4 linked regions of the Kluyveromyces lactis genome follow. The protein of the gene in region 1 purifies or fractionates together with the protein of each later gene. This does not show direct contact. Links are inferred from orthologs where the notes say so. Each region holds a gene or a part of one and is shown in the gene's direction. Other genes may lie near its edges. The genes, in order: NOP56, NOP9, BUD21 and DBP3.

The links.
Region 2: the proteins of NOP56 (region 1) and NOP9 purify together in Saccharomyces cerevisiae (affinity purification with mass spectrometry; 3 studies listed by BioGRID). This does not show direct contact. The link is inferred for Kluyveromyces lactis from reciprocal best matches to the Saccharomyces cerevisiae genes NOP56 and NOP9.
Region 3: the proteins of NOP56 (region 1) and BUD21 purify together in Saccharomyces cerevisiae (affinity purification with mass spectrometry; 4 studies listed by BioGRID). This does not show direct contact. The link is inferred for Kluyveromyces lactis from reciprocal best matches to the Saccharomyces cerevisiae genes NOP56 and BUD21.
Region 4: the proteins of NOP56 (region 1) and DBP3 purify together in Saccharomyces cerevisiae (affinity purification with mass spectrometry; 3 studies listed by BioGRID). This does not show direct contact. The link is inferred for Kluyveromyces lactis from reciprocal best matches to the Saccharomyces cerevisiae genes NOP56 and DBP3.

The regions. Positions count from the first base shown.
Region 1 is NC_006040.1:1,041,474-1,048,112, forward strand, and holds NOP56 (snoRNP complex protein NOP56), read left to right. Parts: upstream 1-3,603; coding exon 3,604-5,145; downstream 5,146-6,639. Other genes in the region: SWI1 (Swi1p), read right to left, coding at 1-3,054; PBA1 (Pba1p), read right to left, coding at 5,497-6,264, 6,343-6,351; tubulin-binding prefolding complex subunit YKE2, read left to right, coding at 6,616-6,639. UniProt on the Saccharomyces cerevisiae protein: Required for 60S ribosomal subunit synthesis.
Region 2 is NC_006041.1:1,202,785-1,211,808, forward strand, and holds NOP9 (RNA-binding RNA processing protein NOP9), read left to right. Parts: upstream 1-6,433; coding exon 6,434-8,440; downstream 8,441-9,024. Other genes in the region: MPT5 (Mpt5p), read right to left, coding at 1-1,399; rRNA-processing protein NSA2, read right to left, coding at 3,050-3,835; small subunit rRNA maturation protein LCP5, read left to right, coding at 4,063-5,250; VFA1 (Vfa1p), read left to right, coding at 5,544-6,161; MRP8 (Mrp8p), read right to left, coding at 8,605-9,024. UniProt on the Saccharomyces cerevisiae protein: RNA-binding nucleolar protein required for pre-rRNA processing. Component of the 90S pre-ribosome involved in production of 18S rRNA and assembly of small ribosomal subunit. Component of the pre-40S ribosome required for release from the nucleolus.
Region 3 is NC_006037.1:680,487-688,187, reverse strand, and holds BUD21 (Bud21p), read left to right. Parts: upstream 1-4,323; coding exon 4,324-5,076; downstream 5,077-7,701. Other genes in the region: OMA1 (metalloendopeptidase), read right to left, coding at 1-453; RTS2 (Rts2p), read left to right, coding at 731-1,450; TVP38 (Tvp38p), read right to left, coding at 1,575-2,492; KLLA0_A07645g (uncharacterized protein), read left to right, coding at 3,147-3,965; Mn(2+) transporter ATX2, read right to left, coding at 5,187-6,131; DNA-binding SCF ubiquitin ligase subunit DIA2, read left to right, coding at 6,557-7,701. UniProt on the Saccharomyces cerevisiae protein: Functions as part of the small subunit (SSU) processome, first precursor of the small eukaryotic ribosomal subunit that coordinates the first two steps of ribosome biogenesis in transcription of the primary transcript pre-RNA and pre-18S processing.
Region 4 is NC_006039.1:1,341,514-1,349,908, reverse strand, and holds DBP3 (RNA-dependent ATPase DBP3), read left to right. Parts: upstream 1-3,193; coding exon 3,194-4,708; downstream 4,709-8,395. Other genes in the region: LEC1 (Lec1p), read right to left, coding at 1-728; HNM1 (Hnm1p), read left to right, coding at 1,168-2,811; MNN10 (alpha-1,6-mannosyltransferase), read right to left, coding at 5,067-6,062; PEX5 (Pex5p), read right to left, coding at 6,639-8,339. UniProt on the Saccharomyces cerevisiae protein: ATP-dependent RNA helicase required for 60S ribosomal subunit synthesis. Involved in efficient pre-rRNA processing, predominantly at site A3, which is necessary for the normal formation of 25S and 5.8S rRNAs.

The DNA.
Region 1 (6,639 bases):
TCCAATATTTTCTTCTGCTGTGAGCCATTTGCATGGGAGGTTATGATTTTTGAAAATACAGTGCTCCTCTTGAGCATCGATAAACTTTACAATGCAAACAGCAGCTGTCAGAGCTTGTAAAATAGATGGAAGTGAGTCTTCAATCAGATTAGGGATTTTATTGATTTGTTGGAAGGGGATGGTGGAAATGATAAAAGAGAAAATGTCATTAAACAACTTGAATTTTTCGTCCCCGTTATACAAATCTAAAACCTGCTGGCATATGTCATCATCGTCATTTTCTTCAGTGAAAACACCAGTTAATACTGACTTAAAATGTGCTCTATTTGGGTAACCAAGAGAAAGAAGTTTAGCCAAGACGTCCGCACCGTATGTCTGACATTTTTCAACATTCATGGTGTACTCTGCATATGTCAAGACGCTATTCTCTTGAATATGATCTTTCGGATCAGCGAAGCTCAACGCTAGCATTATGATTAACAAACAAGTTACTGTTGATTCAATTTTCAACATATGTGTAATATTAGATAGAATAAAAATCAAATCCTTCTTGAAGTTTAAAACCCTGCGCTCAAAAATAAACTCATCTCTATGAATGAAAACCATCCAAAGAGTATCTGCAATATATTTTTCCATGTGGTAATTATTAGCCATTACCTGTGAATTCTGTTCGTTAAATGAAAGATTTCTCAAGATCATTGAAATTGTTGTCAATTGGTCAACAATCAACAAGTGCGGATCCTCTGCTCCAGAACGGTGACACTTGCTAAAGATGGATCCGACTTCCGTTTTGACTTTAGTTAGAGAATCCATATATGAAATGAAATGTAGCTTTTTGATTTCATCGAGATTTTCGTCTTTCAACAAATCAGGTAAGTATTCAATATCATTCTCATCTTCGTCCTTCTCCAGTGAGACTTCAGGTAATGTCGCATCGACTTCTATTTCTGGTTCCGTCGGTGTGATCGGAAGTTGAGAAAAATCTATACCAGTTAAAGAGTCTACCTTTACTGTATATTCAGATTGATCTTCTCCAGATTTTTTGACGCTTTCCTTGAAAATTTTATCAATATGAGTATCAGAGGAATCCGAATGTTTGGGAGGCGTATTAATCCACTGCTGTTCATCATATTCAGTATAAGACCCTGATATCCTTGAATAATCCTTCTTCAATAGTTTATGCAGTAACTGACACGCCAAGATACAGAGGTTATCCAAAAGCTCACGACATTTATCGAGTGGAATTGATAAAGTGTTATCGGAGCTAATAACTAATAATGAGTTTAGTGCGGTATTGACTTCCGGGTTATTAGAACTTTGTAACTGCATTGCAATTGCATTGATATTGACGACACCAAACTCCGGCGCAAAGAGGAAGATGGGTTTAAAATTATGTATCATCTCACCAAGAGCTGAAATCTTTGAAATATCATACCCATTTTGCGTGGTGATGGCTCTTGTGGTGGGACTATAATGCCTGGCCATCGTTCTCTTATACACCTTCGGAAGCTTCTTAATTTGCTCTTCACGACGTTTCAAAATAATTTCCTGTTGTTTCTTCAATTGTTGTTCGAATATGAGCTTTTGCTGCTGCTGTTGTTGCTCCGCTTCTTGTTGTTGACGCTTTTGCAGCTCTTCCATTTGTTTTCTTTCCTGTTCTAGTTCTTTCTTAGTCTTCTTCTTCACTCTTGGCTTCTTAGGCTGTTTAGGTTTTGCTTGTTTTGGGACGGTGTTCTTTGTTTTGCCTTGAGCCTTAGGAATCTGTTGTTGCTTCATTTGTAAATCCGGTTGTATTACGTTTTGACCCTGCATAAAAGACTGATTTTGCACCTGCGGTTGGAACTGCGGTGTATTCGTTCTAATGTTTCTTATAATGTCCTGAAGTAATTGCTGTAACATGATACGATTGGTTTGAGTTTCTTTAATACCTTCTGGGGTCATCAAGTACTTTTCGTACGGTAGTAAATATCTGTAGTACGTCTTTGCCAATTCTTCTCCAGCATTTGGTCCTTGTATATTCATCTTTTTCGCCAATATGTGCCATTGTTGTGCTTTAGTGACGTTTTCTCCTCCGTTAAGCTTCTGAACATACATGTATAAGATGAAGAAACTGACCTGGGTACCATTAATCATTTGAGCAATATCTGCGGGTTGATTCTTTCTCCTGCAATGTTCCAAAAATGATTTTCTAAATAGTTCAAACTGTTTGGTGTTTAATTCCTGACCGACTTTCCGTTGAATGGCTGGATCTAGATTTTGTAGAACGTTTCTTTGGTTATTAGACTGATTCTGTACTTGAGGCGCATGTTGTTGCATTCTCGCCTGTGCTTGCGCTTGTGCTTGTATGTGCGCTTGAGCTTGGGCTTGAGCTTGAGCCTGTGCTTGTGCTTGTGCTTGGGCTTGAGCTTGAGCTTGTGCTTGAGCCTGTGCCTGCGCTTGAGCCTGTGCTTGTTGCTGCTGTTGTCTTAGTTTCTGCTGCTGTAATTGGTTGAATGCCTGCTGTTGTTGCAACATCTGTAGCTTTTGTTGCTGTTGCTGTTGCCTCTGTTGATGCGCAGCAATTATTGCGGCTCTATCCATATACTGAGGGCTCTGTCTACTAGCACTCGCCTGAGCTAAAGACTCATCGGCCATTGTAGGGGATCCACTTGGCACATTTTGCGGCGTTCCACGCTGCGATAACATCTGCTGTAAAGAAGTAGTGCCGGCGGGAGACTGCGTCGGTGCTACATTGGCTGTATTCATAGGAATTGGTCCTGCGGCTGGAGAAAACATGGATTGTGGAGAGATAGAGACTCCACCGTTCTTCATCGACGGAGGTGAATTGACAGTTGAGAATGAATTTCTAGCCAATATAGCCTGGGGCGTTACGCCTGCGTTAACATCTTCCATCGGCCCTAAATTACTATCAGGTATACCTTGCTGGTTGGGTGCGCCTGAGTTATCAAGGAAGGAAAGGTACTCATCACCGTTCGAACCTCCTTGACCGAAAAGCTGGCCATCGCCAGAATTCATTGGATCACTCTCGTCCGGGAACAAAAACTGATCGTCCATCCGTATGTACCAATAAAGTTACCGTTTGACCCTTGATATCAGGGGAGAGAAATCACGCCTAAATAAAACCTAAAACAAGGGAATTATATTCATTCTGAAAGTAGTGATAGTCAAGTGTCAATTGAATTCATTGAATACAATTTCGAGTTTCCTTTCGTTGTTTTGTTTTTGGAAAGACAAGAAAATTCCAGGTCACGTGATTTTGTCAATTATTCTATATCCGGGTAATACATTCGATCACGTGTATAACTTACCCGGCCGCGGCCGGGTAAGTAAAATATATTTCCCATTCTGCTTTTCTTTTTCAAGCTCATCGCTCTTTTTTTTTTGTTTGGAAAATTTTCATTTCGAAGCCAATAAAGAGAGATGAGCTTTCTGACCAGTGAATATATTGTATATTGTGTTATGTGCACAGCGATATTTCAATTAATACTTGTCTGTATTATCTTGAGTTTTGTTCATTCATTCCGAAGTTAGTGTGTGTTGAAGAGTCCAGATCAAAGAGATTTTACGGTAGCGAGGAAACTTTATTGATCAGAGAATTAAATAATGGCTCCTATTGAATATCTTTTGTTCGAAGAACCTACCGGGTATGGTATCTTCAAAGTGAAATTGCAACAGGATGATATCGGATCTCGTTTGAAGGAAGTCCAGCAACAGATCAATGATTTCGGCTCTTTCACTAAGTTAGTTGAGTTGGTTTCTTTTGCTCCTTTCAAAGGTGCTGCTCAAGCTTTGGAAAATGCTAATGATATTTCTGAAGGTTTAGTCTCTGAACATTTGAAAGCTTTGTTGGATTTAAATTTACCAAAGGGTTCTTCTAAGAAGACTGTTACTTTGGCTATTTCTGATAAGAACTTAGGTCCATCCATTAAAGAAGTTTTTCCATTTGTTGATTGTATTTCTAATGAGTTAGCTCAGGATTTGATTCGTGGTGTTAGATTACACGGTGACAAATTATTGAAAGATTTACAACCTGGTGATTTGGAAAGAGCTCAACTTGGTTTGGGTCATGCTTACTCTCGTGCTAAGGTTAAGTTCTCTGTTCAGAAAAACGATAACCATATCATTCAAGCCATTGCTCTCTTGGATCAATTGGATAAGGATATCAACACTTTTGCCATGAGAGTGAAGGAATGGTACGGTTGGCATTTCCCAGAGTTGGCAAAGTTAGTCCCAGACAATTACAAGTTTGCTAAACTCGTTCTATTCATTAAGGATAAGGCATCTTTGAACGAAGAATCCTTGCACGATTTATCGGAAATTTTGGATAACGATGCTGGTATCAGTGAAAGAGTGATCGATAACGCTCGTATCTCTATGGGTCAAGATCTTTCTGAAACTGATATGGAAAACGTTACCATCTTCGCTAAGAGAGTTGTCTCCCTTGTTGAATACAGGAAACAATTATACGATTACCTATGTGAGAAGATGCACACTGTGGCTCCAAACTTGTCCGAATTGATCGGTGAAGTTATCGGTGCTAGATTGATCTCTCATTCTGGTTCTTTGACCAATCTTTCTAAGCAAGCTGCCTCTACTGTCCAAATCTTGGGTGCTGAAAAGGCATTGTTCAGAGCTTTGAAGACTAAAGGTAACACACCAAAGTATGGTTTGATTTACCACAGTGGTTTCATCGCTAAAGCTAGTGCTAAGAACAAGGGTAGAATCTCTAGATATTTGGCTAACAAATGTTCTATGGCTTCTAGAATCGATAATTACTCCGATGAACCATCTAACGTTTTCGGTCAAGTGCTAAAGAAACAAGTTGAACAAAGATTGGAATTCTATGCTTCTGGTACCCCAACTTTGAAGAATGAATCTGCTATCAAGGAAGCCATCGAATTGTACAATAAAGATAAGCCAGCTCACGAAGAAGAAGTGGATACGACTGAAGTCTCCAAGAAGAGAAAGCTAGAAGAATCTAACGATGAAGAAGACTCTGAACAAGAAGAGAAGAAGGAAAAGAAGTCTAAGAAGGACAAGAAGGACAAGAAGGACAAGAAGGAAAAGAAGGAAAAGAAGGAAAAGAAAGAGAAGAAAGAGAAGAAGGATAAGAAGGAAAAGAAGAGTAAGAAAAATAAGGATTAGGTTGTGTCAACTTTTCAATCATTTTCCGAAGATTGATCGACTTTATTATTATTTTTTTTCATCATATTTCAGTTTAAACTCGTCACTTTACATTTAACTTTTCACTTTTACATTATTAAGTCATTCCGGTTTCTCATAATTATAAAGCTCTTAATTGCACCTTTAACGCTCCTACTTGTATCCTAAGACAATAAGGAAAACCTCGTGTCTACAAACATGCAACTCATCATTTAACCATTGTTACATATTACATCTGTATATCACCCAAATCATATTTTAATTAGAATACTAGACAATTATCGTCACTAAAAAACAGAACGGGTGTAATCCCAATATTTGATTAAAGACACGTTAAATATATAACCCGCCTTGAGTTGTGGTACATTCGTCAAGTTTCCAAAGCTTTAAGCATTCCGATACATAGTACTCTGTCTGTGACGGGTACGAGCAAAGTAATTTCGACATTTCATCTACTAAAGCATCAACGGTAGGGAAATTATATTTCTCAAAACCAATTGGACCCTCAGAAGGCACAACAATAACTTTGAGTTCCTTCCTTGGTAGAGCTAAAATGAAATTGGTGATAGAACCGGTAATAAATTCGGGAGGGACTAAATAGGACAACTGTTTCAACTCTGTTATTTTGTCCGAATTTACTAATATTGTTATATCCTTAATGTCTCTAAGCAATTGTGCTAAATTTCTAGTCATGAAATTCGTTACAATGGCTGGGTATTTCACTTCATTCTCATCGATTATTGCGATCAAAGTATCCTCTAACCTCCATAAATTGTAATGTATCACGAACTGTTCCGTAGAATTTATCATATGTTCTTCTGTGTCATACATTCCAGGTACGGGTTTCATTGATTCCCATTCGTTCATGTTTGATAGGGTACCTGAGATGATACCTATATGTACCAAATTGATAATACTCTTAGGAAGTAGCCACTTTAAGGATGTAGGCAAGACAATGCAATGATTATAAGGCGAAATATCCAAAGATTCAGGTTCAATTGTGACCGTTGGCGTAGTTTTGTTCACCAAAGAATATGGATCGGATTGGACCACTGGGTCTATCTGATGTCTTGGTACTTGATCATTTTGCCATTGCTTGAACTGTACTTAGGATTTAAAAGGATTAAATGATGGTTAGTATGGGACTGCTGAAGCTTTAAATTGGGAAACAAAACATACCGTAAGCATTATGCGTGTTTTGAGCAATCACTGTGTTGAGGTAGAGTCAAAATGAAGTAGAAGCAGCTCATTCAAAGTTTTATCTTCTTGTTGGAAGTGTTTTGCCTCAATATGAATCTGAAAAGAACAACTTGATTATTTCAATTCAATTAATGAAGGAATGTTTAAGTGATGAGAGCAGAACAAAATACAAAGAGGAACAGGATACTTCGGGCTGTTGAATCGCTGATTATAGAACTTTATTACTGATACACACCGATACACATAAATACTATGTCTGCTGAAGAGACCACACAG
Region 2 (9,024 bases), on another chromosome or scaffold:
AAGCGTTAACAACATCATCCCCATCATCGACTCTGTCATGTGGATTCAAAGCCGCTGTTGATGTAGATGTAGTTGCTGTGTTGGACACATAATTCATCACAATGGCAAACAACTTCTTTATATATTTCTCAACAACGTTTGAAGAAAACTTTAAACAGGACAACTGGCACAACTTTTGTGACAATTTGTTGAAAGTTTCGCCTAACAGGTAGAAATCCAACTCCTTGATATCGAACAAGAACTGGATAATATAGTTACCGAATTGGTCGTTGATCAAGGAGGGCAAGTACTGAATTATCTTGACAGAAATCTTGAAAATCTGTTGCAGAGTACAAACACTCAACAATTTTTGCAGTACACAACACCCGTGTTTGTGAGTTGAGATGGTAATGATGTTATCGTTATTGACAATGGCGTCAATGATAAAATCAAAATTTGCTGGTTGGAATTTGAAGATACATTTCTGAATGACATGATTACCGTTCAAATCATTAATCAAAGTGACTACCTGTTCAATTGATGTATGCTCCTGAGAAAATCCCCTAATGATCATATCTATATGTTCTTGGGTCTCAACGGTATCAATGATCTTTTGCAAGGATCTGGTACCATATTGATTGATGGAGATTTGGAATACAGAGGGATAGATATCTTTAATCATTGCGGTTTTCTGATCAGTTGTCAAATAATCACATAGCTTTTGAATCAAATAGTTACCGAATGGATCCAAAATTAGATCCAAGAAGAAATTGTTGACATTCTCGAAGATTAAATCTCTCACTTGATCCGATTCTTGAGGAGTTTCCAACTTTCGTTGCAAGAATCTACAACCGTATTGGTCTGTAGACAATTTCACGTAATCCAAGTCCTTCAATCGGATATTATGCAAATCGTTCATGGAAGTCACTGCAGAAGTTGTCGCAGTAGATGATGACGCTGATGAAGACGATGCTGATGATGCGTTCGATCCAGTATTACCACCACTTGACGACACTGTATTCCCGCGTGCGCCAGTCCCACGAGATGTACTAGTGGAACCATTTGGTGAAGAAGCAGTTGAAGTCAATGACGTTAAATCAGCAGCTGCAGAACCTCCCGGAGGTAAGATGGATTCGAATTCATTGATCAAGGGCAACGATTTCATACGATTTTTCGCATTGGCAGAACTAGACGCAGCCGTTGACACGGATGTCGTGGCAGAAATCGTACTCAGCGGTGACATTGTATTGACATTCAGAGGAGAAGTGTTGGAAATGAATTGGTTGAATCCAGACAAATCCAAAGAATGTGTTCTTTGATGGTTATTCTTAGAGTTCATCTGGCCCAACGGCGGAGTCACTGGCTCAATGACAGATTGAACAGAGTTAACTGACAGTTGGGGTTGATGATGGAATTGCATTATCCACTAGTTATGTCTCGACTCCGGCTTCCCCTAAATACTTGAATCTTTGATTCTATTATAAGATCTTCTTCAGGAAAGAATAGCTTTCAAAGGTTAATCACCAGACGAAAACAGGGACTTGGAGAGAAAAAAAAAAAAGCACAGTTTAGTCTAAACACAATCTGTTAGTATCTCAGCTGAATAGTATCCTCTTGTTCCCTCTACTCTTTTCTTTGAATGAAACCAAATTTAGTTCGCAGCTGATCTGGTACCAGATCTGGAAGCAAACAAATATAAAACAAGCGAAAGTATAAAAAGCCCACAAATCAGAAACTGATCTTTTGTCTAGCGTACCCTAAAACTCATAGGTCTGTTGTATACACCAGGAAAACCTCAAACAATTGTTCCAGTAACACGCTCTTCTTACAATGCAAACTCTCTGTGATTCTTGATTCTCTCTATTCTTATACGATTCTGATTCTTCCATACTATTCGAGGGATAATGAAAAATAATACTCAAGAAATACGTAGACGCCCGCGTAGGAAATATCTGCTTTCCTATTGCCCTGCCTAGCCAGACCGGGGGCGCCGCCCGCGGTCTAGGCAGATCAGATGAGCGTAGACAGGAATTTGAGAAAAATGATTCAGGGAAAACCAGGGTTGCTCACGTGCCGGACAATCTGTCTGGACAGACATTTTTCACGATCGAAATAGCTGTTAGGCAGAGAAGTCCACCGTGGCCAGGATTATTGTCCGGCACTTCTAAATCAGGACGAGAATGTGAATCAAAAAGAGGGTTGGATTGAGCGAAGAGGCTGGATCAAAGGTACTGTAGTCACCTGCAACAGTTCTAATATGAGAATCTGTATAGTGCTACTTTCAGTATCACTATAACAGTAATTTAAACGAGACTCAAGTTGGATCATTAATTGGCAAAAGCTTTCTGTAGATGCAGAACAGGGGGAAAGAAGGTAAAGGTTAATGGGTAAAGGGGCTGTCCGTTAGGACAAATTTCAATACATACTGGTGGGGTTTGGAAAAAGCACTGATTGCTTACGGATCAGTTTCTGTGGTGAAAACTAGAACGTAGATCCAGAAATCAATTTGATCTGGGGAACTACTTCGTTTCCAGTGGGATCAATGATGTTCTTTTCCTGAACAACGTCGACGCTAGTATCTGTATATGGACCAGTGCTAGAATCTGACCTAATAAGTGCTGTTTTGAAGGTAAGTTTGTGTATATCAAGCGCAAAGAATGTGTATGTATAATACTGAATATATATATATATATAGATAAAATTATTTGGTATGATTTGGTAGGGTAGTACCCTACTTTATTGTGAAACAATAAAGATGAATACTTAGGGTAACCTGAGGGTCCAGAAGGTCAATTGACACGACGTGTGAGTAGCAATTAGTTCAATGCATTGGAATAGCTGGTATCTCAACGGCAGCGAGGCATGAAATTGTCAGTCTCATTGGCTATAATTCAGTATTTAACGCTAAATATATGATTAAATAATGATGATTTAGCCAGTACTTTCTAATAAGGGAACTCAGTTCTAAAATGAAATAGTAATATACAATAACGTAGCGGAGTGGGGGGTGATGCAATAGGGAATAATTGAGATGAGTAGGAATTTTGGTAGTAATAGGTTGTACTTGTTCTTACACAAGTAGCACAGCGTTGACACAACCGTCTCTATCTGGCTCATTCGTGATTTGAGCATATTTACCCCAAACCACTTTACCACCAGAAGTAACCATACCTAATTCCGAGACGTTCACTTCAATAATAGTACCCTTGGTTAATACACCCAACTGTGTGTACATTGGCGATTGAGGATTCTTCTTCACCGCAAGAATTGGCAAGAAAACGGTGACTCCAAGTTCCGGATGCGTCACATTAGCCTTCTTTTGTCTCAAAGCACTAGGTCTGATAATCCTTTCCATCTTCACAGGCCTTCTTGTAAACCCTTCACCAACAAACGTATGTTTCGTGATCATTCTCTTCCATGCCTTAGACTTAGACTTACCTGTCTTAACAACTTTGAACATCTCTTCCTCACTGATACCTCTGACCTTAGGCAAAGGAACAGAAAACTTGTCAGCCTTCTCCAAACGCTTCTGCTTGATGGAACTGGATATAGCCTTTGCAGTGTTGTTCTGTTCTCTGTCTAACAAATAAGTAGGCAAAGCCTCCCCGTTCTCATCCAACGGTTTGGACCCTCCTTTAACTTTACTCTGCTCATGAGCACGGATCTTCTTCTTCATAGCAACCTTCTCAGCATAACGCTTCTTAGCAAATTGCTTACCCTTCCAACCAGTCAATTTCTGAGCCTTTTCAGAGATCTTATGAGCCTCACGGGCTTCTCTCTTACGTTTTCTCTCATCGTGGTCTAATCTACGACCATGTTGCTTGATGTGCTGTTCGATATATTCGTTTTGAGGCATCTTTGTTTTATTGTAAGAACGACTTGTTCGGTGATGACTTACTTCTAAATCACAAACGGACACACGGACTCCTTGAATGGACTTCTTACCACATGTTAACCCATGCGATGAGCTAGTTGTTCAAGTTGTCTTTGTATGCTTTTCTCATTGAAAGAAAAAAATTCAATAGGAAATGTCGAAAAGAAACGTAGTGAAAAAAAAAATTTGGAATCAAGCGATGAGATGAGATGAGATGGGTATCAGCCAGATACAAGTTTGGTTGTCTGGTGTGGGTTTGGCATAGGTTCGATCTACTGTTATTGATGTATAAAACCTCATTACATTCTATTGACAAGGGTTACAGCGGAAATATAGCCATGTCTGAGGAGTTAGGAACTGTTTTGAAAACGATTAGAGATTCTTTGAAATCTTGTGGAGAAAGCTTGGATAAGTTAGAAGAAGTCTATGATGATGAGGAGACCCATCCTTTCCAAGGTTCAGCGGTGGTAGGTCACAAAGGTGATAAATTAGAAAAAGTTTCTCTACTTTCTTTGAAGAATGGGAGTATGCTATCGTATTTGAATTCGCTTCTGTTGGTATTGGGACAGAAATTGAATAAAGAGATGGTTGTTGATGAGGGTAGAGTCAGGGCAGTGGAACAACGAGTTGTTCTTGAAAGAGGTGTGAAGCCCTTGGAGAAGAAGTTAGGGTACCAGCTGGATAAATTGACGCGGGCGTACATTAGACTGGAGAAAGACGTTGAAGAATCCAAGAAAAGAGCCGAATTGCAGGGACTGAGTGACGTACGTGCTTCCCAGGAAGAAGTATCAGACTCAGATTCTGATAGTGAAGAAGAGATGCAATATAGGCCGAACAGTTCAGGAATGGTCAATAACACATCAGTTGGAGGGAAAGCCAAGGGGAAAATCGCTGTCAAGAGTACTCACAATGAAGAAGATGTGGATGATAAAGATAACGTTTATAGACCACCTAAGATCAGTGCCGTTCTGCCACCAAAGCAACATCACTTCGAGGATAAATTCAACGCACAAGAACATAAGGATAAGAGTAGCAGGTCTCGTATGCAAGCTATGGAAGAATACTTGAAGGATTCCTCGGAACAACCGGAATGGGAAACTTCTATCGGTGCCAATATCGTCAACCATGGTAGAGGTGGTGTGAAGACAGCAAGAGATACAGAACGTGAACGTGATGTTCAAAGATTCGAAGAAGAAAATTTCACTAGATTGAACCCCAACGGATCCAAGACTGACAAGAGAATGAAAAAACAAAGAGAAATCATGGCCAAGGTTAATATGATCGCCGGTGAAGATTTCAGTATCTTCAACTCCAAGCGTAAGTTGGAGGATAGTACAAGCAGAAGAGGTAATAAGAAATCTAGAAATGCTTGGGAAAGAGCCAAGAAGAAGTTGTAAACCTGAGGTCCTTCTTTTTCTATGTATAAATAGGCTAAAATATCCATACGTCTCTATTGTCATCATATAGTGTCAAATACGTAGTTTATAAATCGAATGATAACGGTGTTGCACTGCTCAAACTCTAGCTTTGATGTGGTTTGTTTCGTTTCGTTTTGTCTCGTTTTCTTCATATCAAGGTGTAATCACCAATAATTAATTAATACAATCTAAGCGTTCCAACTTTGCAAGATATAATCACCACCTATCACCCCTACTAATCTCCTACCAGCGTACAACTTCCAGCGCCCCTGATGAAGAACGAATACACCAGAAAGAAAGTCTCAGCAAAGGATAGGAAAGCATGTCTGATATGTGGTAACCCTACAGTCACAGTTTTGTTCAATGGAAGCGGACCTGATTGGTTTTATACATGCGATATACATCTAGTTGATAACCCGCAGTTTGTACAGCCTCTATACCCAAAAGAGTATCACGAGTCTCTGGTTAGTCTTAAGCCACTCAAAGAACGCATAGAGGAGCTACAAAGGAAAGAGCGAGGTACCTGGGATCAATGGGTTAATAAGATCTTTGACTCTAAAAAGCCATCATCATCTGATGATAAGAAAGAGGACAGGGATGACGCGAGTTCTGACGACAAGAAGAAGACCGATGAAGCAAACTCACTTGAAGAATTGCAGCAAACGTACCAAGCGACACTTGATAAGCTAGCTGCATCAAGAGAGACGTGCAATAGATACACTCTACACGACCTAGTATTCCAATCAAGAGTCGACAGACTACGGAAACTGGCTCAATTAAAGGAAAAGAAACGTGTAGAGCAACAATCATACACCAACACCGACCCCAATCAACTATTACAATCGTTTTCGTTTCCTGAAGTCCCCAAGAACACCGTTAACAAGTCATGAGAGGACGGCCTAATATGCCTACCTCTTATGTCTTTTGTGCAATTCTATATCACGTGATTGATATCACGTCAAAAAGAAATTTCTGATCTTTTCAACTTTTCAATGAAAAGCTTTAAAGAAGCAGGACATAGTTAGATCCCATGCGATGAGCTTCAAACTAGAACAGAATACTTGCTGGTTTCAGGCGTTTCATCTCTGGTTTTTGCTATTTTAAATAATTTTGAACTTTAATTCGATACGTGCTCTAAAAAAAGGCTAGGAACTGTAATATCATGGCTAGAGTAAGAGGTAGAAAGCTAATAAAAAAGCTCAAGAAAGATGAGTTCCATCCAGAAGACAATAAAACCCATGATGAGCCTACGGTTAGCCATGTTAATGAAACTGCTGGGGGTGACAATAGTGATGTGAGTCCTAATACTTTCTTTGGTGTCCTAGATTCTGGCGAATTGGATTATTTTAAGAAGGCTGAATCCACGTTGGCTATTGATACATTTGAGAATCCAGATGAGAAGTACCAGTTTATCAACAGTGTCATCGAGGAAAGTAAGGGTAAAGAGTTGAAACTTGCTACGTCTCAGATTTCTTCTAAGCTAATGGAACGTATTATTATGGAAAGTGATGAAACTCAATTGAAGACTATCTTCAAAGCTTTCAATGGGTTTTATTTCAACCTTGCATGTCACAAATATTCCTCCCATGTTTTAGAGACTCTATTAGTCAGAGGTGCAGCACAGGTGGAAAAAGAATTGTTAACACCTGATTTTGATTCTGTTGATGAGGGTGAATTCGTTACTACTGAATCATTGTTTTTGTTTTTGACTAACGAGTTGCAACCGAACTTAAGGTTCATGGTGAGCCATCAATATGCATCACATGTCCTTAGAATTTTAATCTTAGTGCTATCGTCAAAGACTTTACCAAGTACTGTACAGAACAATTCAACATTACGTTCCAAGAAGTCTAAGATTGCACGTAAGATGATTGACATTAAGGATAACGATAACTATAACAAAATATTCAAGACTCCCGATTCATTCAAAGTTGTTCTTCGTTCTATGTTATCTTCAATCTACACTAGTTTCACACATGGTATTCCACAGGGCTCTGGACACTTTTCTGAGATTTCTCTCGCTGACGTTATGAAATTCAGGGAAATATGTGTTGATAAGATCGGGTCTCCAGTGATTCAATTGGTAATACAAGTAGAAGGTATCTTCGATAGAGACAGGTCATACTGGCATCTAATATTCAAAGATTCTGATGAGAAGGATCCCAAGGAAGAGTCATTTGTGGAGTACTTACTATCAGATGCTGTTGGATCTCATTTCTTGCAGAATGTTATTGCATCAACTAGAATCAAGTACGTGGAAAGATTATACAGATTATACATGAAGGATAGAATTCCAAAACTTGCTAAAAGAGATACAACTGCTGCATTTGTGTTGCAATCACTTTTGAAAGTCTTGAACTCTAAGGAAGTCAAAGAGATTATGGATGAACTGGTCCCAGACTTGAGCGTTTTGTTGAACTCTAACATGGATTTCGGTACTGAAATTATAGATGCCAGTATCCGTCATGATAATTATTTGAGGGACGAAATCATTGAACAATTAATGAAGAAATACTATCCTCGTGAGTCATCTGATAAGAACATCTTAGAATCTTGTCTTCAGTTAAGTTCCTCTACCCTTGGTAACACTAGAGATGACTGGCCAACTGCTGAAGAGAGGAGAAAATCTCTATTCTTAGAGAAGTTGATTGATTACGATGATTGCTTCCTAAACAGTACCATTGACAGTATGTTGAATCTTCCAGCAGAAAGACTTTTGCAGATGCCATACCATGGTGTGTTTTCTCACGTTGTTGAACATGTTCTACAGGTTAAAAGAGTTGCCATCATCAAAAGAAAACTCTTACTCAATGTGTTATGCAAAGATATCGTAAACTTATCCTGTAACGCATATGGTTCCCACATTGTTGATAAACTATGGACATTTACGGCTAAATTGGCTATGTACAAGGAACGTATAGCAACTGCGTTATGTGCAGACTCTGAAAAGGTCAAGAACAGTGTTTACGGTAGACAAGTGTGGAAGAATTGGTCGCTTGAACTATTTGTAAGAAAGAGATACGACTGGAAAAAAATAGTAAAAGAACAAGAGCTCGAAATGTTCCCAGATTCTAAACCTTTACAACCAAAGACCTTCAAGCGTCCTAATAATAACAACAATTCGGATGTTTCACCTTCTTTCAAGAAGAGCAAGTTCCAGAAAAAATAATCATGAAAGCATGTACTTCAACATATCAAAGTAATCAGTTGTAAATTATATATATATACATAGATATAAACAACCAAGTCACGTACACAGACGATAGTATGTATAGTTATAACTCTACTCCAGTCATTTGTTTTTTTATAACATTATCTTTTCTCAATAAAAGTTTACCAAGTGCCTTTGGTTCTTCTATTATTTAACCCTAAATATCTTGCTACAGTGTCAAAGATAACATCCATTTCTTCTTTAGTGTATTTTTTTAGTTGGTCAGCCGCAGTAGCATCTGTAAATGTAGGAATTGAAACATCCTCTTCATTACGCAAGCCCTCAGTGATTGCTTCAAGATCAGATTGTGGGAATGGCAATACGCCATAAAATTCAGCTACCTTACATAAATCCAAATCCTTGATATTGCTGAACTCTTGTACCGTTTCCGGTAAAGGAATTTTAAGATCGATTGGCAAATCGCCGTCAGCGTTAGGTAATGGACCGATCGCATCTGCTGGGTCTCTTTTATTATTGTTTGCTACTCTTCTTATTGATCTTTCCTCAAGATAATCAAGTTGTCCTTGTAATTCTTCCACCAA
Region 3 (7,701 bases), on another chromosome or scaffold:
TGCTCTTGGATCATTGACAATATGAATTTTCCATTGAACATCTTTCAACAGGCTTTGATCCACACTTGGATCGTGCTCAGCAGCCTCCACAATCCGGTGGAAAATCTTGGTCACTTTCCTCGTTAATGGATGCGATTCCGGTAGGATTTTCCCCTTAGTCTCACTAAGAACCGAGTTGTAAGTGTATTGGCCAATCTTGAGTTCAAGTGACCTTGGCAACCAGATAAACCTTGTTCTCGCGGTAACAGGAGCCTCTTCTAAATGAGTCAAATAGAATAACGATCCGGTACCAAACACTATAGCGAGGTATTTCCTCGAGGTTTTGTCGAATAACAGCTGTGTGAATGAGTTTCCTGTGCGGCCATTGAATCTTTTATAAGTGACTCTTGGAATCGGAGTATTGTAAAATCTAGCCTGAGGTCTTAAAAGACGGCTGAAAACGTTCTTGAACATCAGTTGAAACTATTATGAATTGTACCAACAGTAATCAGATACCACAAGGTTGGAGGTTTAATCAGGGTACTATATATGTTACTTATCCATCTTTTTATTTTATAAATTGTCTAAAGGTTGGAGTTAGTAAAGTCCTCAAAGCTTTAAAATGCAGATACATATCTTCAGTCCATGCGATGAGATGAGATGAAATACAAGACGCAAAGATTCTAGAATCCTAGAAGCATAGAGGTGTTTAGGGAATATCAGACTATAGTAAGATCGTAAGCCAGACACCATGGTATCCGGAGATGTTGGTAGTGCTTCGTTTTTGAACAAGCAGATGAAGATGAGAGGTTTGCAGAAGCTTCGATTCTATTGTCAGATATGTCAGAAACAATGTCGAGACGAGAATGGGTTCAAATCGCATTCTAAGTCGCCATCTCACTTGCAGAAGCTTAGTAAAGTGACTCATAAGGATATTGAAGAGTATACGGTTCAGTTTGAGAAGGATTTCCTTCGATTGCTACGGCTTATGCACGGTGAGAAGAAAGTGGAAGCTAATAAGTTCTACAATGAGTTTATTCAGGACAAAGACCATGTCCATATGAACGCTACGAGATTCACATCATTGACGCGATTTATACAACATTTAAGCCAGGGGGGGAAAGTACGGATCCATGGAATAGATGAGCTTACTAGCGATACAGACCCAGGACGGTTTATGATAAGTTATATCGACTCGTCTTCACCAAATATGATACGGAAGAAACAAATAGAGTCATTGAAACAAGCCGAACGTAGTGACCAAGAGATTAAGCTAAGGCTCTTGGAGAAACAAATCGAGAAGGCCAACGCTGAAGAAGTCAAATCGGGTCAAAAGGAAGAAGAAGAAGAAGAAGAGGAAATAAAAGCCAATATAAGAGATGGACCTATAAATCTAACAGTATCCACATCGAAGGTGACTAAGAAGAAACCGAAAAAGAAGCTCAAAAATGTTTTCAAGCCAACGAAATGAGGCACTTATATATATGTAATATTAATGGGGACCGTTCATTGAAGTATATACCGCGCTACACACGTAGCATTGCAACTTTGTTTGCGAATAATACAAGATATAACTCACGTTTGGGCCGTTCTTTCTAAAAGATGTCAAAAGAGTTTTGCTGTTCAGATTGTAGTTCTAAGTATCTCTTTTTGAATCTGTAATAGAGGAACCACGTTGTTAATATTAAAAATCCATTAGCCAATAGAATAGAGATGAAATTGATTAACCTTGTAGAACCCGAGTCTGTTTCTCCCATGTTTTTGAGCCTTTCACCAACGAAGAGATAAATAACCGCTTTTGGTGTGGTGATGATGTTAGCAATGGCAAAGTTCTTGATTGAGATTCCATAAATACCAGCTATCGCACCGTTAATGAAAGAATATGGGAACGGACAAAGTCTAATAAGAGCAATCATCCAATAGCTGTCATTACCTTGTAATACCGATGATACAGCTTCTAATTTGGGATTCATTCTGATCAATCTCTCAGCATGGGAATGCAACAATCTCTGGAATACTGTGAATGAGAGAACTGATCCAATCACAGTGGACATGGCAAGAATGAACCAACCCTTGAAGGAAAGCCCATAGATCAAACCTGTAGAGAGAGATAAAAATGAGTATCCGATCAATGGCGGGAACGAAACCGCTAATATAAGTAGCATTAGAACTAGAGGTGTGTACCATTTCTGTCTCAGATCATTAGAGGCATCCACCAACCCTTTCATTATCGCTTCCCTTTTAACTACTGTGATAAAGATTAATATGATTTCAAGGACCCCTAAAAACACCACAAGAGCCTTCTTTCGTCTGCTCAACGCATTAAACTTATCCTTGCCATTTCTTAAATGCCGTTTCCCATGTTGAACAATACGTTGCCTCCAGCTCAAGTTGTATATGTCAAGGAAGTCATCGTCCAAATCATCAAAGTTGTCGTTACTATCCAAAAAATCCGTGTCTGAAGGCCTCGACAAACCGCCAGAACTAACTCTAGCCTCGTAAAGATCAGCCATTATACTAGTATCAATTGACCTTGAGTCTTTACCGACACTAAGAGGCTTGACAACAGCATATGTTTCTCTGATTTCCAGATATACAGTGTTCAAAGTGTTAATCTCTTTGATGAATTAATTAAATGTTTTGTAATATAGTGGCGGAGTTGTGAATAATGAAGGATACGATGGAAAGAGTTGGTTTCTAACCGTCCCTGAAGTGAACTACAACCTTTCTTAGTTAGAGCAGAAGAATGCACGGAACTGGTGTTACAACCTGTGTGATCATATTGACGGTCAATATATCTAGATCACCTTTAACCGGAGACCTTATGGTCACGTGATATTCATCCTATATTGCAATAAATGATACCACCTCACAAGAGAAAACACAGAGCGATGCACTTAGAAGCACGGGCTCTCCAAGATAGCTGTCCTGTTGTTACAGATGGTTACACCCTACTAAACCCCCGATTTTGAAGTGACACGGCTGTTCAATCGCCGGTAATTCCTTGTGTCAGTTTTCCAGACGTCAAATTGAACTGAATTTAGATCCCAGCCACAAACGTTTTAATAGAGAACACGACATAAGACGTTCTCCAACCGTTCAAGGTCGAGATCTGAATCTAGATATTTAGAGAGAACGTCAGCTTCTACTGTACAGAGCTAAATCATATGAAGAGCTTATTGAATAAGCGGTTTTCGCCTAAACGTCGAAATAAACCAATCACTTACGCACCAGCTTCAGCAGCGAAACCTAAACCCAAACCCAAACCTAAACCCAAACAACTGGACCCACCAATGCAATCCGGTGAGAGCAGTAGCCAGAAAAGCAGCACTCCCATACCAATCAAGTCTATATTAAGACCTGTTGATGGCACGCACGAACATGAGAATAAATCTGTCCGCATTGTGGAATCTTCACCACATCCGGAGTCTGTTCCAATCAGCACACCAACTAGGATAATAGTAGGACCATTACCTGATGGAAATGTTAGTGACTCTTTGGTATATAATGCCAGCGATTTAGAAAAGGGTCATATCGGCGTCGCGGAGGAATCGTCACCGCTACTAGAATCACAGTTGCCTGATTTGACAACATACCAAACAATTTCCCCAGAGTCCAACCCCACTGCACAGATACATTGCTGGTCAACACCCTCGTTGCCAATTCCAATACCACCACCATCAAGCGATCAGCCATGTTCAGGCGACCCCGTGCAGTCACCCTCAATTCCCCCATCCAGGGAATCACCATTTACCAGTCCGTTAAGTCGGTTCTTGCAAATGCTATACGCAAGATATCCTGTCATCATAACTTATATCCTAATCACCATCTGTGTCATTGGGATAATATATTCTTTAGTAACAGGAACTGGTAGATCATATCTCTTGGTTATTATAAAGGCATGTATATGCTGGATAATGGGTACAGACGTGGCAAGAATGCTTTTTGGTACCCAGTTCTGTGATATTGAGTTTAAAGTGTCATGATGTTTCAGTACTGCAAGCTACACATTAAATACCATTAGCATAGCAATAAAGTTGATATAAATTGATATAATCTAACCAACAAATAGCACCAGAACCAGCCAATACACAGCACAGTCCGTTAACGGGTGATGAGCATTCTACTCGTAGTCCAGTGTCAGGAACAAAATCTTCAGCACGTGACCTCTATTTACGTATCATTTCTTTTCGAAGTGAAAAATTTGGACAAAGCGATGAGATGAGATGAGATGAACCACTGGAACTAGTCCATGAAGCAGGTCGTGTTACCGTTCTGTCAGTGTTTCTGTTCAATTGTGCATTGGATTAGACAAGTGGCAAGAGTTTACTGAGAAATATAACAATGGGTTTGAAGAAAGTTCTAGGTTCTGGTGCTGCACTGGTAGCGAAGAGACACTTGAAGTTCGATGATGATGCGGATGATTCATTCCATACAGCTGATGAGGGCAACTCTACCCTAGATGCTCTCAAACCAACAAAAGCAGAAGCGAATGGTGAAAGTGAAAGTGAGAGTGAGAGTGATAGCGATGCGCCAGAAGAAGAAGGCTTGAGTAGTGGGAAAGATGCTATAGAGAAAAGGATTCAGGAAAGAGAAGAGGCTGCAAGGTTACAAGAAGAGGCAGCTAGAGAGAAGAGACGAAAGAACGAGAAAGTGTTCAAGCAACAGCAGCTAGAGAAGAAGAAGAAGCTGCTCGAGTCTGAGGAGGAGAAACAGAGAGAAAAGATGTTAGAGTTTGAACGACAATTAGTAGCGCAGCAGGGTTCGGATAATGATGAGCCGGAAGAGTTACCACAAGAGTTCTTTGATGAGCTAGAAAGTGGATCTGCATCTTCCTTCGCAAAGGCTACGCCGAAACATATTACTTTCTCGGCAGAAGCGCAAAGAGAAGAAGAACAGGCCCTAAAAGAAGAATTACGGAAACAAAAGAAGAGATCACTAAGGGAATTGAGAAAGACCCAAATACAGAAAGGACCTGTCACTGTGAACTTGCTATCGTCGATGAAGGTATCTAAGACACTGGCTCCAAAAAAGGAAACCAGTGTCATGAAATCAAAGGATAAATGGTTGAAAAGAAGAAGTCTCAAACGTAAATAGAAGAGGATTTGTGCCCACATGTACCTATCTATTCAAATATACAGGTCTTTATACATGTGATTTGTCTCGTGTATAATGTATTATCTAAAAGAGGAGTTTCCTGATTGGCTTTAGCTATCATGAGGAGCGAAGAAAGAGATCATTAACGGGATAAAGATACCCAAGAGTAACAATCTGACATCTGGAAGTGATTCTTGTTCTATTTTCTCTTCAGTGGTAACACCTTCGCCCATCTCTAAAACAGAACCCGACACTGGGATCGGGCCATCATTCTGTAACTGTTGTTCCTGGTCCTTACTTGGTGAGATCAACGCAAGCAATGAAGCATACAATAAACTACTACCGCTCAGAACCAATAGCCCATCGCTCATTTTCTCGATTAGGTCCTTGCTGACGAATCTCATCAGGATCACGAATAGCAACCCGAACGGTGTGGATATACTGAATGCAATAAGATTAGAGATTACTTGTAGTTTGGGTAATCTCTGTTTCGAAATCATAATCCCCGTCAAGGAAAGCGTCGCAGGAATTTTATGTATAATAATGGCGATCAACATCACGAATTTCAACGAATCGTAGGATTCGGCAATCCCCAACGCCAGTCCATCAGAGAATGCATGGATTACCAACGCGAATACGATATTGTTCGTTAAGATAAATGGCACCGTCTTCCTTGGATTGATCAAATCGATATTCCTCTCAAGAGGATCAGGCGCAGCAGAAGCATCAAACGAACCACTTAAGATGTGACCAGCTTGCAGTGCATGTAAGAACCTATCTAGTCCATATAGAATCATGAATCCCAATAACAAACTGATCCCAAACCCACGGCCACCCTTATCACCGAATTTCTCGACACCTTCCGGTATCACTAGTAAACAAGAAGTACCTAACAACATACCAATACCGAAATCAGACACATACTTCAAGTACCCCATGCCAGAGTCTCCCTTCTCAGCTAGCTTACTCATGTACATCACCGGGATAAGCCCCGTTCCTAATGTCGCAAAGAATAGGAATACTGCCGAAAGTAAAGGTTCTAGCAGCTGAGACATGGTTAATCAAACGTGTATCCGTGTTCACCTCTCACTAGTGTCTATTACCGCTACCAATCTTGATTCAAATTGCAGTCCTGACGTATAACGCACACAATTAGTGCCAAAGACCAGTCATATCAACGTGTTTTGTCATTATTTACCTTATATATCAACGTTGAAAGGTTAAATCGTGCGATTTAGAATTGATGTTCGAAGTAAGAATTGGACCCTGAACATATCTCTTTATGGAAAAACATGTAGGATATAACCGGGTGCATTGTGTTAATGCCATTCTGCACGACTGTAGCAGTGGGTAGAGTGAGATTAACTGGTTGGTAAAATCTCCGTAAAGAACGCAGTGCGGAAAACAGTGACACTTTAATCTGTAGATAAAGAGAGCAACTGGTGACGCATCATTTTGTTGTAAAATTAACAATGAACCAATGGGTGAAGAAATCGATGCTTTAGACGATGGGCTGCTGACTAGGACTTATGAGCTGGGGCTGAAATGGATGCAATGTAGGGAATATTCCAAGGCGTTGGGTCTTTTCTCAAAAGCCATGAAAGTGTCACGATCGTATCCGATGGAAATGGTGGAAAATATTCGTATACGTGCTGGAATGCCCAAGAGATGTGCTTACGATGAGAGTAAGGCTTACCATCCTCTGTACGTGAAACTATTGGATAGCAGGATATCGTGTTTGATGAAAGTTGGCGACTATGCACGAGCCGTTAAGGAATCACAGTATTTCTGCAAGATTGAACCGTCTAGTACTAGGGCCTTGTTAAGGCTCGGGAAGTCGTACGAGCTGGCTGATAAGGGTGATAGGGCAAGGCAGGTATACAAGAGCGGAAGGAAACTTGTGAAAGAGTTGAAGGAACGCGGGGTTCTCGTGTCTCCGGTACATGAGAAGCTTTTCAGTGATCGGTACGAGGAATTATTGAAAAGGAACGCTATGCAGTTGGTTAATAGCAATGATGCTGAATCCGGGGCTAGGAATTCCGAACAGATACCAAGTAAGAAGCGTGTTTTAATAGAGCAGAAACTAGTTAACAATGAGGACATTGAGGAAAATGACCTTGTCTCCGATACAGATCAAGACCATGACGGTTCAACGATGAATAAGAAAATGAAACGAGCAACTATAGACCCTATCCAAACTTTCCCAACAGAACTTGTGATATCTATCATGCGGCGATTGGATACAAAGGATATCACATCATGTATGCTGGTATCCAAATTTTGGTATCGAAAACTATCGACCACTCCAATGATTATAGACTATTTAAGTGTTCCCAAGACAAATTATTCGAAGATTAATTCACTGTTAAGGTTCGTGAAAACGAAACGGTGTGTGAGCTCCGTCATTCAATATCTGAACTTCTCTGTAATGGCCACTAATGAAGAAGCTAAGTGTTCACAGTTACTGTTCAACGGATTGGACCAGGAAGTGAAGAAACTGGTCTTACAATTCACTAATTTGAATATCTTGAAGGTACTTCAATTGATCTCGGATAAGGAAAAATTGATTGCGAATCTTCAAGAGTTCTCTGTCTTTGGCCATTATGATCCTAACCATTGGGCAGA
Region 4 (8,395 bases), on another chromosome or scaffold:
CATTTATTTGCAACACTTTTAGCCGGTTTTGGTTTCACCTTATCATCAGGGAAAAGTAACCGATGCTCTACCACGGCTATCACATTGATATCGATCCCATTGAAGTAGATAGGTTCGTTCGTCAATAAGTACTGCAAATTATCCTTGCTTGGCATGGTAAACTTATTCAACTTGGTAGCCTTCTCTGCATCCTTAGTAAGATGATATTTCTCTTGCTCGTAGTACTGACGTTCCTTTGACACACCGATCCCAGAGTTATAGAACAATAAAATCACCTTGGACAATTTCAATGCCATCTTCCGACGTTTTGTCAATTCTTCTCTATCAAAACTGGAACTGAACGGTAAAGACATGAAATGCTCAAAGAACACCTGAACTTTACCCTGCCAAAACGACGGATCCTTAACCAACTCCTTGGACAACAATGGGAACGTCATTACAAAATTCTGCAAGAAATGGCTTAATACCGGAAACTCACCAACAAATTTCTGTTTCACCTCATCATCAGAATTAAGCGTTGATGAAACACGACTAGAAACCGAGCTGTTTCGTGAATGACTCTTATTTTTAGCCTTGCCCTTACTCTTCGGATCCTCATCCGAGAAGGGGCACCCGAACTTCCTCAATGCATTAATGTCGTTAAGCTTCTCAAACTCTGTATTCAACTCAATCCTTAATAACTCTCTCTTCAAGTAATGTTCTTCTACGGAAGAAAGTTCAACGACCATGCCTCCTAACCTGTGTTATTCCGCTCACTTCAAGAAACACACCGATAGGTATATATATATATATATGTACATAAACCAGCCTGTCTAGACTAACTTCACATATAACTCTGCCAGTTAATCCAAAATCCACGATCTATACTAAATCCATGTCAATTCCATAAAGCAAAGGAAATTCCTTTTAGGAGACGGAAGTGGGATTTTGGGCCAAATGAGGTTTAATTTTCACATGTCATGAAAAACTTCGTCTTCGAGACGATTTGAAAAATGGAAAGATAAAAGACAACCAGAAAACTGCATTTCGAGGAATTGCCAAATCCTATATAAGGACACTGATATGTTTTTAGTTAATATGAGATGAGATGAGTTGGTAGTTTATTTATATTGTGTGTCTTGTTTCGTATTTTTATATAGATGGTAGTATTAGGGATATTCTTTGAAGATGCGAGAGATATCTAATTCCGAGATGGCAGGATCTTCAACTGGATTCAACGATAACAGTTCGGATAACGGTATCAAAAATGTTGTTCATGAGGAGAGTAAACTAGAAGAACAAAGTATATCGAGTAAAGATGCTTACGATGCGTACGGTGGTACAGGTGAAGGTCATTTGCGTAAATCATTCTCTCTATGGTCGATTTTAGGTGTTGGGTTCGGGTTGACGAATTCTTGGTTTGGTATCTCGGTATCCATGGTTACTGGTATCTACTCTGGTGGTCCAATGATGGTCGTATACGGTATCATTATCATTGCCTTGATCTCTATCTGTATTGCTGTGACTCTAGGTGAGTTGTCTTCTGCTTTCCCACACGCTGGTGGTCAGTTCTGGTGGTCGTTGCAGTTGGCTCCACCAAAATACAGAAGACTAGCTGCTTATCTATGTGGTTCTTTTGCATGGGCAGGTGCGATTTTCTCTAGTGCATCTACCACACTTTCAGTTGCTTCTGAATTGGTAGGCATGTACGCTTTGACCCATCCAGATTTTGAAGTCAAGAGATGGCATGTATTCGTATGTTTCCAAATCTTGCACTTGTTCTTGATGATGTTCAACTGTTCTGGTAAGGCTTTGCCAGTCATTTCTCAATCGTCATTGTACATCTCATTGATTTCATTTTTCACCATTACAGTGACCGTGCTAGCTTGTTCCCATGGTAAATATAACGATGCCAAGTTCGTTTTTGCTACTTTCTATAACGAAACTGGCTGGAAAAATGGAGTCATTGCCTTCATTGTCGGTTTAATCAACCCGGCATGGTCCTTCTCTTGTCTAGATTGTGCCACTCACATGGCTTTTGAAGTGGAAAACCCTGAAAGAGTGATTCCGATCTCTATTCTATGTACAGTGGGCATTGGATTCCTTACTTCTTTCAGTTACGTCATCGCTATGTTCTTCTCTTTACAAGATCTAGAGGCTGTTGCTTCATCCAATACCGGAATGCCAATCTTGGAAATTTTCCGTCAAGCTACCAAATCTACTCCAGGTGCTGTAGTGTTGGGTTGCCTCATCCTTTTCACCTCATTTGGATGTGTTATTGCATGCCATACATGGCAAGCAAGATTGTGTTGGTCATTTGCTAGAGACAACGGTATCCCATACTCTAAATACTGGGCTAAAATTGATCCTGAATTGGGTGTGCCATTGAACGCGCACTTGCTGTCATGTGCCTTGATTTCGCTATTGGGTTGCTTATACATGGCTTCCACCACCGCTTTCAATTCTTTAATTACTGGGTGTATTGCGTTCTTATTGTTCTCATACAGTGTTCCGGTCGTATGTCTGTTGGCGCGTAAACGTAATATTAAACATGGCCCATTTTGGCTAGGAAAATTCGGAGCGTTCTCCAATATCGTTTTATTGGGTTGGAATCTTTTCGCTTTAGTCTTTTTCTGTTTCCCAGCTGTCATGCCAGTGACAAAAGATAACATGAATTATGCATCAGTCGTCATTGTTGGGTTCCTATTATTCTACTTAGGATTCTGGCAATTTAAGGCAAAGAAAGTTTTCTATATCAGAGAAGATGAAAACACCGATAGCAATCAGGAGTCAGTAACAACTGAAGCTTTCCATGCTTATGATGCTAAATGATAAACACTGCTTCCTATCGCATTTCGTTTCTTGTCTTTTTTAACGTTTATTCACCTGTTTAATATACCTACTAAATATAATACTTGCATTGTCTTTTGAATTATTGTTACTAGATATATACGAACTGAGGTACTGCTGTATCGGAATTAATTGAGAATATATTATCAATTATACGGATCCTCCGTTGCTATATTAATTATATATTTGTCTCTTGTTGTAATTCAGCTGGCGTCAGTAAAAAGAAATGTTTTTTGATTATTGAAAATTTTATATAACAAAGCTGAGATGAGATGAGATGACTTAAGTGCTTTCGAATGATATGATTGCAGAATCTGCAGTAGTAGTGATACTTAACCATTAGAGCTCAAGCAAATAGTCCAGAATGTCAAAAGATGAATTAAAGGACAAGAAGAGAAAGGTGGAAGATGAGGAGTTGAAGAGTAAGAAAAAATTGAAGAAGGACAAGAAAGACAAGAAAGACAAGAAAGACAAGAAAGACAAGAAGGATAAGAAGGAGAAGAAAGAAAAGAAGGAGAAAAAGGATAAGAAATCAGAAACTGAAAGCTTTGCTGCTTCTGCCTCTCAATCTGATATTGATGAATTTTTGAAGGAAAATGAGGTTACAGTTAGCGACCCATCAGGTTCCAATATTGTACCATATTTAGACTTTTCCCAAGTGTCGTTTATTGATCAGATTCAAAAGGAAATTTCTAAGTTCCCAAAACCAACTCCAATTCAAGCTGTTTCCTGGCCATATCTATTAGCTGGTAAGGATGTTATCGGTATCGCTGAAACTGGTTCGGGTAAGACTTTTGCTTTCGGTGTTCCAGCTATCAACAACATTGTCACATCAGGAGACAAGTCAAGTTCCGTCAAGGTACTTGTTATCTCACCAACTAGAGAATTGGCCTCTCAAATTTACGATAATTTGATTGTTCTTACTGACGCGTGTGGTTTAAGATCTTGTTGCGTATACGGTGGTGTTCCAAAGGATCAGCAAAGAGAAGATCTGAGGAGATCCCAAGTCGTTGTTGCTACTCCAGGTAGACTGTTGGATCTAATAGAGGAAGGCTCTGTTGATTTGAGTCATGTTAACTACCTGGTCTTGGATGAAGCTGACAGAATGTTGGAAAAAGGTTTTGAGGAAGATATCAAAAAAATCATTAGACAAACAAGATCCACCTCTAGACAAACGTTGATGTTTACCGCGACATGGCCAAAAGAAGTTCGTGAACTTGCTTCAAGTTTCATGAGTGAACCGGTTAAAGTGTCTATTGGTAACAGAGATGAACTGTCAGCAAACAAAAGAATTACTCAGATCGTGGAAGTTGTGGATCCGTTCAGAAAGGAAAAAAAACTGTTGGAACTGTTGAAGAAGTACCATTCAGGCCCAACAAAGAACGACAAAGTTTTGATATTTGCCTTGTACAAAAAGGAAGCCTCTCGTGTTGAAAGAAACTTGAAATACAACGGTTACGATGTTGCTGCCATTCACGGTGATCTTTCTCAACAGCAAAGAACTCAAGCTTTGAATGAATTCAAAGCAGGAAAATGTAACTTACTTTTAGCTACTGATGTGGCAGCCAGAGGTTTAGACATCCCAAACGTGAAAACCGTTATCAATTTGACTTTCCCTCTAACAGTAGAAGATTACGTTCACAGAATTGGTAGAACCGGTCGTGCTGGTCAATACGGTACCGCACACACATTGTTCACTGAGCAAGAAAAGCATCTTGCAGGTGCCCTTGTTAATGTCTTAAATGGTGCTGGTCAACCTGTTCCTGAGGAGCTCAAGAAGTTCGGTACTCACACAAAGAAGAAGGAACATAGTGCGTACGGTGCATTCTTCAAGGATGTGGACCTATCAAAGAAACCAAAAAAGATTACATTTGATTAATTTAAATCCGTTATAAAGACAATTCTTGTATTTTTTAGCAATCACCCCCATTATGTACAGTAGTTCATTCAATACAGAGTAAATAAAAGTTTACAATTACTCTTGCATCGAAGTTTGTACAATGAATGTTCACGATAAAAATTGAAATTAAAGACGTATTAAATATGCGATATTCAAACAATGACTTTGAAAGGCAACGAAGAATGGTGTTGAAAGGGAAAGCATTAAAGTATAAAAGGGGATACTCTATCGAAGATCTTCTTGTACCTTCGCCTTTTATTTTACAGTATTAGTACAATGGAGCAGTGCATAATTTTTGAAATACAACTGAAGTGATAAACAAAAGGAAATTGAGAATCTAAAAGAACATCGAGTACCATCTACGGTGAAGAGTTTGCATCAGTTGAGTGTATTGGCGCATTTCACCCCAGCAGTCTCTACCAAAGTTACACCCAGCCATATTGACAACGAAGTCATGTTCCTTTTCGTTATAGAAATAGCGCAAGTCATACTTGAAATCTGCACAAGCACCTGGTGGGAAAGCATTGATCTGCCTTAGTGGTAGAAATGCGATCTTCTCTCTAATCCAAGGTTCGTTAGCATACAATGCTTCTAAAGCGTCTTGTTCACGATGTTCCCAGACCATATGTTTTTGTTCATATCCGACTGGGTCCCACCATATATCGAGAAGAAGCTCAGTCCATTCAGTGTTTCTCATTAGGAAAGAACCCAAATTAAAACCACCACAGTCCTGTGTAATTAACATATCTGACGGTTGTGAATAGTCAACATATGCCACATCGGTAGCTATATGCAAAGGATTGAAAGCTTCCAAAGTCTTGTTTGCGATTTCATCTAGTCTATCGAAGATATGTTCTTCCAAAGAAAGTTGGGGCTCCATGATAAGAGTTTCCACGTCTAACCACCAAAACCATTCAGCATTGGGGAATTCCCTCATAGTCTGTTTCATTATATCAACCTTTTGCCAGCCCTCTCTGTATTCATGGGAGTATCTCTTTGATAGTGCCTGATCTTTAATGACCAATCCGTAACCATGTCTTTTGGCGTATGCACGTTTGTTTTCGATAGAAATACGCTCGATAGCCCATTCTTGTTCCGATTTCCACTTTAAAACACCACCGCCACCACTATTGACAGCAACAATTATCACCACCTTGGGTTCAGCTGCAACAAGTGAGAAATCACTTAACCAAAATAATATGAAAAGTATGGAAAACAGCCATAGGACGTACCTCTTATATTTTGAAAATGACGACACGTAATTGGAATCCAAATTTAATGGCTTTTTCTCATCCAATTCGTATGAGTACTCATAAGGTGTACTCGAAGTCATTGATCCTATCTAGATTTTCTGACTGGTCTCTCGTTCACGTACAATATACAATAAATCGGATCAAGTTGGATGCCTCAGAAAAACAGCAAAACGCGATCAATAGTATTTTCTGCTCCAAGCAGTCACACTATATTTCCTTAACGTATTGAAGTACTAACGAAATCACTTAGATACACAAACAACAACCAGTAAATGATTGTTTTGTACTACTCTGGAGTTTATCTATAGAGAACATATATTTTTACTCTGTTGACATTACTTCAAATTCTTGCAACTCGCTTTAAAATGAAGAAATCCAAAACAAGAAAATGTTACCCGGTAGAAATGATAGAATCGCAATCTGTCTCTAGATACCGCGACAGCTTACCATAACACTTTGACTGGTACACTGATCGTGAGCATGGACCTCTGCACTATTCGTTGAGGAATACAATCGAATGACGACTACATATATGCGACTAAATGCTTGTAATTAATTATGCGAATGTATTTTTCCGCAAAACTTGGTGAAAGATCAATTCATTATGAATATGAGGATGGTCCTATCAAACAAAGACTATTCGCTGCGTTGCATTATCAGAAGTTAAACTCATTACGAAATTGCTGTAGATCCATGCCCGGCATGACTTTTTCTAGCAAATCTCTCCTATCCATGGCGACAAAGGAACGCTTTAAGGTCTCCAGAATATTGTTAGATTGCACGACTGATCCAGTAATTGGAACATTCTCTACTTCATGCATAGATAGAGCAGAGAGCAGAGACTCTGCAGCCTCTTTATAACAGCCAATATTCATTGACGAAATGGCCAAGTTATAACGAGCTCTCACAAAAGACGGTTTCAAGGCAAGGGCCTTGTGGTATGCCTGGATAGCTTCTTCGCTACGGTTTGAATTGGCCAAAGAGGCTCCCAAACGGTTCCACATTAATTCGTCATTTGGATTGACTTCTAATGCGGTGCGGAAACAGTCAATTGTCTTACCAAACTCTTCATTGGCATAGAAAAGCGTTCCCAAACCGAGCTGAACTTCTGGATCCACCTGAGGCAAGGCGTTAGCTACTTGCAAATACTTCGTGATTACTTGTTTGCTCAAATTAAACCTATCGATATTGGCCTCATCAATGGTAGGGGAGCGTGTTAACTCAGGGTACTTACTATCTAGCCATCTGTTGAGCATGCTGAAAGCGGTCAGATCATATCCCTCATTAATATAACTGATAGAAATTGTCATGAGTGCCTGCTGATTAGTGGGGTCTAGGCTTAAACATTGCTCAAGCGCACTAATACCATTCATTTCTTTTTCGTTTTGTGTTTGAACCAATCCAAGCTTTAACCATGCATCTACATGCGCGGGGTCTTCTTGCACAGCAGCTTCGAAAGCCAATGCAGCTTCACTTAGCTTCGCCCCATTTTCCATTAGGATACATCCAATTTCATAGGCATTTGGATTATGCATGTATTGGTTATCATTATCAAATCTGTAAGGTGGAATATGTGTTGCTTTACCAGTCATATAGCGAGCGTAATCTTTCTCCCATTGAGAATCACTTGTTTCCAAATTATTATCAGCCGTCTCCGCTTGTAACTTATCCCAGACTTCTTGGAAGTCTGCTTGATATCCATCCTCCACTACTATCTCCTCCTTGGTTTCCTCTTTATTGTCCTCCATGGTCAAATTTTCAGCCACAGCCTTCTCCAAGGCTTCAAACTGCTCATTCCACTGCTTGTCAGCGAGAACACCATCATCACTGGACATTTGCGGTGTTTGCTGAGACATGTGAGAATAATTATGTAATGAAGAAATACCTGTATGCATCATCGGCCTCCCGATCCGGGACATGCCAGGCCTGTATGAACTCATAGAATTTGTGTTGCTTATTCTTTCAACATTATTGACTCTGCTGGCTAAACCCTGTTGAGGAGATCTGCTATTAAATTCATTACCCCAGCTCCTGGAATGCTGAGCTGTATCGCCTGCTGACATATTACTGCTTCCACTATCTTGTTTCTTTAGTCCAAAACGAGGACCATGCGAAAGAATAGCACTAGGAACAGGCGCCATTCCCAACTGACCATCAGAAAAACCAGGTGACCTGTTCATAAACTGGTCCATTTGAAAACGATTTGCATTGGATACTTCATTCACATGAGTTTTGAAGTTTTGAGCAACATTACTGGCCGGATTTTGATACCCCACTTGTCTCAGAGCAGGATTCTGCTGGGCATGTTTATTCAACTGCGCGAGAGGATTTGATCCAACGGAACAATCTGCACTCATAATTGTATTATGTCAAATGAGATGGGATATTTTCTTGTTTTTAAACTCTACCACCT